Linked DNA regions of Oryza sativa Japonica Group. The protein of the gene in region 2 binds, or shares a complex with, the protein of the main gene of each other region. Links are inferred from orthologs where the notes say so. Each region holds a gene or a part of one and is shown on either strand. Other genes may lie near its edges. The genes, in order: protein TIC 20-v, chloroplastic; protein TIC 22, chloroplastic.

The links.
Region 1: protein TIC 22, chloroplastic (region 2) and protein TIC 20-v, chloroplastic share a complex: the UniProt entries of both Arabidopsis thaliana proteins name them as parts of the tic complex. The link is inferred for Oryza sativa Japonica Group from reciprocal best matches to the Arabidopsis thaliana genes Tic22-IV and Tic20-V.

The regions. Positions count from the first base shown.
Region 1 is NC_089036.1:30,722,264-30,725,603, reverse strand, and holds protein TIC 20-v, chloroplastic, read right to left. Parts: upstream 2,060-3,340; 5' UTR 1,837-2,059; coding exon 1,153-1,836; 3' UTR 742-1,152; downstream 1-741. Other genes in the region: transcription factor BIM2, read left to right, coding at 1-68, 156-303, 387-507, 607-663. UniProt on the Arabidopsis thaliana protein: May be involved in protein precursor import into chloroplasts. Not redundant with TIC20-I, TIC20-II or TIC20-IV.
Region 2 is NC_089040.1:5,941,336-5,945,595, forward strand, and holds the start of protein TIC 22, chloroplastic, read right to left. Parts: upstream 2,917-4,260; 5' UTR 2,739-2,916; coding exon 2,298-2,738; intron 2,213-2,297; coding exon 2,150-2,212; intron 1,712-2,149; coding exon 1,637-1,711; intron 881-1,636; coding exon 836-880; intron 1-835. UniProt on the Arabidopsis thaliana protein: Involved in protein precursor import into chloroplasts. Imported into the intermembrane space via the Toc translocon. May be involved in the import pathway used by proteins without a cleavable N-terminal pre-sequence.

The DNA.
Region 1 (3,340 bases), on a different chromosome or scaffold from region 2:
ACAGAGTGTAACCAGTACAACCACCAGTTCCTCCCACATGGCAACAGGCACACCACAAAATTTGGAAAGTAAGTCCATTTCTTATCACCTTTCAACAGTCAGAATTCTTGTAATTAAGAACTAGATCCACTAACTTTAATGTCTTTTAAACGCAGAGAACAGCACACCCAGCAATCAGCCACCATGGCTGAGCATGTCAACAATGCGCCAAGAGTCTGAACCAGGCAACAAAATGCCGAACAAGCATGAGAAACAGACCCTTCACGATGAAAACCATAGTATTTCTAGCGCTTACTCTCAAGGGTCTGTTCCTTAACCATTTGTTACTTCAAGACTAAAGTTAGCACAATATGTAACTAACAGGATACTACTTCAATTTGCAACAGATTATTCAACAGATTGACAGAAGCTCTTAAAAAGTCAGGACTAGATCCATCTCAAGCTAATATAGCTGTAGAGATCAACCTGGCCAAACGAGCAAGAGATAATACTAGTGACAACTCAAAGGTATAGAGCTTTACAAAGTTGATTTATTCATGATGTTTGAACATATAGATCGTCTGCTTAATAATTATTTTGTACCTTTGTCCTGACTTCACATCACAGATCAATGAAGATGAAGAGCCCATCCAAATAACCAAGAGGCGGTGCAATAAAAGCTAGAACTTTTTCTCCAAACTAGAAAATTCAGACATCATCAAGTTCAGACAATAACTTGGTAGCAGCAACCACAATCCCCAATTGATGCAATTATTTTATTTATATTGCAACAACAATTAACTAACCTAAGCATCCATTCATATACCATTGAAGCTCCTTCAGGGGAGGTCTTGAGGACACTCCCCAATTTCTCATTCATCATCTGTAAATGTAGTCCAGAATTCCATATTCTATAGCGAGTATATGTATTGCTATCTCTAAAAATTCCCAATTCAACTCATTCGTTCATACACTTGATTGTAAATTTTGTAATGCCATTGTACCAACCTTCCGTAACTCCATTCATTAAATTGGTTACTACAGCTGTAAATAATCACTGTACTAAACTGAACTTGTGAATTTGCGATCTACTAACATCAATGAGGCATCGAGATGGATGTGTATATCATTTTCCTTTGTTCCTTTTCACCAGCAAGATTTGACAAAAGCTCATCACATCACCTGGCGCTCGGCTGCATCTGCGACGATTGGCAGCCGCGGCGTCTTCCCTAGCAGGCACGCGCCCCCGCCGTAGACTAGGCAGACGAGCAGGAAGAGGAACACGGTGCTCTCCATACTCTGGAAGAGCTCGAAGCCGATCCCGCCACCGGTGGAGGGCGCGAAGGACTGCACGAGGAGGTCGGGGAAGATGAGCAGCACGTCGAGCGCGACGGCCTGCATGGCGTTGAAGCGGACGAAGCGGGAGAAGGCCTGCTGGTTGCGCACGACGGCGAAGTAGAGGGTGAGGAAGAGGAGGAAGGGCGTGAGCGGGGAGGAGCGGAAGAGGCGCGCGGCCGGCGCGAGCGGGCTGAGCAGGGTGCTGAAGAGCGGGAACTGCGCGAGGAGGAAGCGGCCGTGGTGCACGCCGTCGAGGAACGGGTAGAGGTAGGCGACGGCGGCCACCAGGCGGTCGGGCGCCTCCACGGCGCCGCTGTTGTCGTTGTCGTTGTTCGGGTTGGAGGCGCGCGGCGGCGGCGCGGGCAGGCGGGCGCGCGTGGCCCATACCCCGAGCGCGGTCTCGCCCGCGTGGCCGAGGAGCAAGGGGTGGCGCGCCTGGGAGCGTAGCGCTGGCACCGGCGCCGCGCGGCGGAGCGGGCGCGGGGACGAGAGGAGGAGGAGCGAAACGGCGGATGCCATGGAGAAGGGATTTGGTTGGGGGAGCAGCGCGGCGCGGCGCGGCGCGGCGGGTGGGAGCTGAGATTTTTGCGGGTGCAGTGCCGTGAGGTGGGGGAGTTTGGCTGGTTGGGGGGCAGTGGCGCCGCGCGGCTGCGGCCACCGGGGCGAAGGCGAAGCGGGGTTGGGAGCGTGGAGATTTTTCCAGATTTCGGTGGGATGTGGGGCATGTGGCCGAGTGGGAGACGAGGAGATTGGTTGGTGGTGCCTGGTGCGGGAGGGCAACGGCGAGGGCGCCGCGGCAGGCAGGAAGAGCATTAGATGGGCCAAAGCTTGCGGCGCCGTGCTGTTCACTGGGCCGAAAGGATCAGGCGTACTGTTTGGGCCTCGTCTGAGACGCGTTTTGCCGGTTTTCCTGCGTGGGCTACCAGGCTTTCGTCGTACCATATGCATCGCGATTTCGTAATGGGCTAAGGCGTTGTACGCCTCTCAAGCTGAACTCCGCGCGCGCGGCCCGTAATGCCCGTAGTGTGTCGTTCAGCCGTTGGCACTTGACAATTGGCTGGCAGCGATCTGACACACACAAGGAAATGGAGTGATTTTCGTTGTACGAACTGTAATAATGTGTGATTTTCGTTTAATGGATTTGGATGGTCCTGTAAAAGAAAGGGGAGAACAGCTGCAGCCTGCAGCAGCGTGGCACGTTAATCTTCCCTCCGTTCCACACCCGAGAGTTACCTGACTGACTGCTTCACTAGCACAAAAGCAGACTACAAATCTACCAGCATGGTTTACTAATTACACGAGCTATGCAGCTTGCGGATCTACCATTGCCTCATACTGCCATATGAAAATTCATCAATCTCATCCCCATTGCCTCCTACTGGCACGTTTCCCGTCGAATGGAGCACTAGTAAAATTAAATTAAACTCGATCCCAAGATGGCTCTTGCGTCAACGTTAATCCTCCAATCCATCGCACAAAACCAGGCGCATATGCACGAGCTCGAACGTAGCAGTCTAGCAGAGCGATCGCCTAGGGATCGGTTGCACGTCGAGTCCCTCGCGCGCGTTGACGAGTAGAGATCGGCAACGAAGTGGAGACGACGAGGCACTCAACCCCGTGCACTGTGGGATGGGCTCGGCTCGGCTCGGCCGCGCGCTCCGTGCCAGATTCGCGCGCATCTCTAGCGGCTATTCTCGCGGTGGTTCACTGCATTTCGAGCTGAGTGCTCCAACGATCGATGAGACGATAACGAGTAGGACAAGACCACTTAACTGCTGGGTCGCTCTTGGATCAGTGCTAATCCTATCTTAATCGCCACTGAAAACAAGATGCACTGACTCGCACGTTAACAAGTAGAGGCATGTATTACTTCGATACACCACCACAGCACAGCCGTGGTAAAAAAAATGATACATCACCGTGCATTCTGGTGTTCTATAATACACAATCAGAGCATATATACACCCAACAACCAGCAGCATCTGTTCAGACTGCTGAAACAGTTGGTAGTACTACATGGTAA
Region 2 (4,260 bases):
TTATTGCTATTGGAAAGAATAAATCACCAAATGCTGAATATATCACTTAATGTCTTAAATAGTCTGTACTTAGGATAGAACGCTATGATAATCAAAAACAGCTATCAGCCTGTCAAATTCACAAGTCCAGTGCTGCAAACAACTGAATAATTGGAAAATCATACATATAATGGCACAATATCTTGAAACAAAGTGTTCAAGCATCTCCGGAAGAAAGTTAAGCATTCTCTCCTGCCATGATGCTTTTATTCCACGTGATTTTTCATGTCATACTGCAATAAACATGTAACCAACTGCGTTGATGGACCTAAAGCTGTGTACTTCAGTTTTTTCCTTGATAAGAAAATCAGGGCTTCCCTTGTTCTATGACAATCGAAACATCAGAAGATCTGATATTCCATGAAAAGGTTTAGACTACTGCACGCCTAAACTTTCAATTGAAAATTTTTGACTATCCGTTTATCTTCTAGTCCTATTTTAGTACAACAAGTCGTGCCAATAAGATAAGGCTAAAGCTTCACAAAATGATGCACACATGTGACAAATAACGAGAAATTATGACAGGACAGTTCATGCATTTACATTTAATAAATAGGCATGGGCTAATAACTAACAGGAACAAGCAGATAGCTTCAGAACCTACCTATTAGTCCATGCACTTTGGTAATATTAAGTTCACGAGTAATTTATACTGAGTCAAGATATTAATCAGCAAATCAACTTTAATACATTTATTGTTAATATTCTAAAATACATTTAATAATCGCAAAGGGTATGTCTCAATGCTTTCCATAAAAGTATATTTTTCAGTAAATAATACAGACATGAGTATTACCTGGAAAACAGGAACACCATCAAAAGCAGTTAAGCCAGATTTTAACTGAAAAAACGAAGGATAATCGTCACTGGGCTGAAGTAAGTTTGTTAGCATTCTTACATTAGTGAAACAATGCATAAGATAGCAATAATCTACATACTATACACTGTTAAGACGTCAGCTCTGATATACTCATGATTCATGAGTGAAAAGGCATGAGTTGTACATTCCATGATATACTCTGAAGTCTAACCACTGAATGTGGACAGTCCACACCAAGAAACAGGAAAAACAATACAGATTATCTATATTTTAAAATGCCACCTTCCCATATGTTTTTTTTTCTTTTGCAAGGAAGGGACTTTCTCCTTATGAAATAGGCTGACATGTGACAGCACTCCATGTGTTCTGCGTGCATCTGTCTAGTGTATGCATATCATTTGTGCATTCTGGTGAAGGCAATGATTAGTGACAGTACAACTTCTCTACCAATAATATATACAAGGAACCAAGTCCATGTGTAAAGTCTTGAGTGGTGATACAGAAAATAGGTACACACATACCCAAACTGCAAAGATCTCGGACTGTTGGTAAATAGTTAAAAACATTAAATGGGAGTAAAATTGGTATATAAGGAGTCCATTGGAATTTTGGAAGATGCAATGGCTGCATTGATGCTTTTAAGGAGTAATGCTGTCAACCTGAGGAACTGAATTCCACTTTTCTAGTGAGATAGAATGATGGCCAGATGGGCGTACTAAACATATCCACTTATAGATAAGATGGAGCAAAGAGCCACAAATCCAGAGAAGAACTAACCTCCAACGCATTCTTAATTTGAAGAGGGTCAGGTAAGAACCGAAATGCAATACCTTCAGCCTTCAACATGTAAACCTGCATTTAGAAGGACGGCTTAAGGTATATTTACATTGTAAAACATAAAAAATAATCAGCATAGTTAAATGTAAGCAATATACTAGTTGTATTGAATGAAGTAGAAACGAGTGAAGTTGCAACGAGGCTAGCCTAAGCCCAAGAACCCTCAAGCATGAATATGCAAGAAAAGCATGGGTGTTGTAAGAAAAGATAGACTAAGCTAGGTAAAAGGGGCAGCACATAAGAAACGGCAGCTTTCCTTGATTTGCTCTTGGAAGAAATCCAGGTCCCACTTTGCTACTCGTTAATATGTCATTCAGTTACTAAATTATCATACAACTGTATGTCCCTATTTAACTCTTGCATAAACCCAAATGCTCCATAACTCTTCCTATGCAGAGTTGGTCCTAGAAGAGTGATGACAAAATTGATCACAAAATATCGATTTAATCCCACCTGATCAAGCGTAATCGGCACCACTTTTGCCCCTCTCCCTACCACCGGCTGCCGCATCCTCACCTAAACCACACAAACTCCCAAACCATTAGGGCGAAAAGAACAAATCAAACAGCAAAAGGCATAACAGATGGGAAGATGAGGATACGTGGGTGAGGAGAGCGTCGGCGTCCTCGGAGCGGAAGCAGAGGAGGCCGAGGGAGCGGAGGCCGGTGGCGGGGTCGGAGACGAGCACGAACTCGTTGCTGGAGTTGCAGACGGTGAAGACGGGGGTGCCGGTGAGCGCGCGCGCGACCTCGTCGGGCGCGAGCGCGAGGGAGAGGGAGGCGGAGGCGCCCTGCGGCCCCGGGGGCGCCGCCGACGCCGTCACAGCAGCGAGGGCTGGGCGCGGCGGCGCGGCGAAGCGGGACGCGAGGCGGGAGAGGTGGTGGTGGAGGAAGGAGGAGGCCGCGGCGAGGGGGTTGGGGGGCAGCGACGAGGAGGAGGAGGAGGAGGAGGGGGCCGACGGGTTGGACATCGGGGCGGCGGCGAGCGGGAGGGAGGAGGAGGAGGAGGAGGAGGAGGAGGAGTTCGGCGGCGGCGGCGGCATCGTGGTTGGCTGGTTGCTGCTGGGTTTTCGGCACGCGACGCGACGGACGACTTGGATGGCGGCGCGCGGAGGTGTCGTGTTGCTCGGCGTCGCCGAGGAGCGGGCCGCGGGCGGCGTGCGGATTCGGTCGAGCCGCACCGTCTGGCCTCGTGGAGTCGTGCTGCACTGCAACTGGTGTGGCCTTGGTTGGGTTTGGTCGGGGGGTTTTGCTTCGGCCAATCCATTATCATTTTTTTTTTCAGTGAAAATATGTTAAGCTCAATTATCAATTTTTTTCAGTGAAAATATGTTTAGTTACAACTTACAATATGGAGGATGAAATTAGCTTCTAAGAGCATCACCAATAGAATTGGAATTATTCGCCCCTAAATTTTTCAACTCCGCGCACGCTGTCTGGGGAAGAACAGAGATCCAAGGGTGAGTGGGTGACTACCGTCTCTGTACCTCTACGTATCATGTGCTGGCCAGCGCGGCTTGCCTTGCTTAGGTGGAGGTCCAATTGCTTGCCGCATTGGCACCTCATCGTCGTGGAGGCACAGGCGGCACGGGGAGGGAGCACAAAGGAAGAGGAGGGGACGTGGATCGGATCGAGCTACGACGTAACGTCAGGTGCGTGCACTGTCCATCTATCATCCAATGGCTGTTGTTTCTCTTGCCTTCAGTCCAAACAAATTAATCAGTCTCCTTCTTAAAAAGCCCAAATTAATCAGTCTACTTCTTGAAAAGCCCTCAGAAAAACAGAGATCTAAGGGTAAGTGGGTGACTACCGTCTCTCTACCTCTACACATCATGTGCTGGCCAGCGTGCAAAGGAAGAGGACGGGACGTGGATCGGATCGAGCTACAACGTAACATCATGTGCGTGCACTGTCCATCTACCATCCAACGGTTGTTGTTTTTCAGTCCAAACAAATTAATCAGTCTCCTTGAAAGCCCTCAGATCCAGCAAGTAGCTTTACAGATGAGGCAAATATGAGGACTGTTCAAATGAGTATGAACGCACGCACGCAAACCTTACCCCTATGAGCATCTTCGAAGACTGGGCCGGCAAATGCATCCTGGAGATTGACGAAATCACCACGGGCGCCTCGTTGTCGACGGGTACGTCGCCTACCACTGAAAGCACAAAGCCGTTAAATGCTGAAAAGTTTGCTTCCATGGGGAGTCAAACCCAGGACCTAAGGTGCTACTGAGACTCTTGTAACAACTATGCTACATGCGCTTTCGCAAACATACTTAGCCATTATTATCATTGACTCATTATGATATTATATAGCATCCTTATAAATACCAATACAATTAAAGTACTGCGGACTAATAAAGTGCCAAATCATTAAATTGTCCATTGTGGTGCCTAAATTATCTTGGCCCTATTAACTAATGATTAGTGTAAGTAACCATTTTCTCAATCATCGATTGCGTTTTAGATATTATCTTACTTTTTTAACCTCTAAAAATCTATACTAGTATAGCCTTTACCAAACACCAATTGAATTCCCCTTTGTTAGTAAGCTATCGATGGT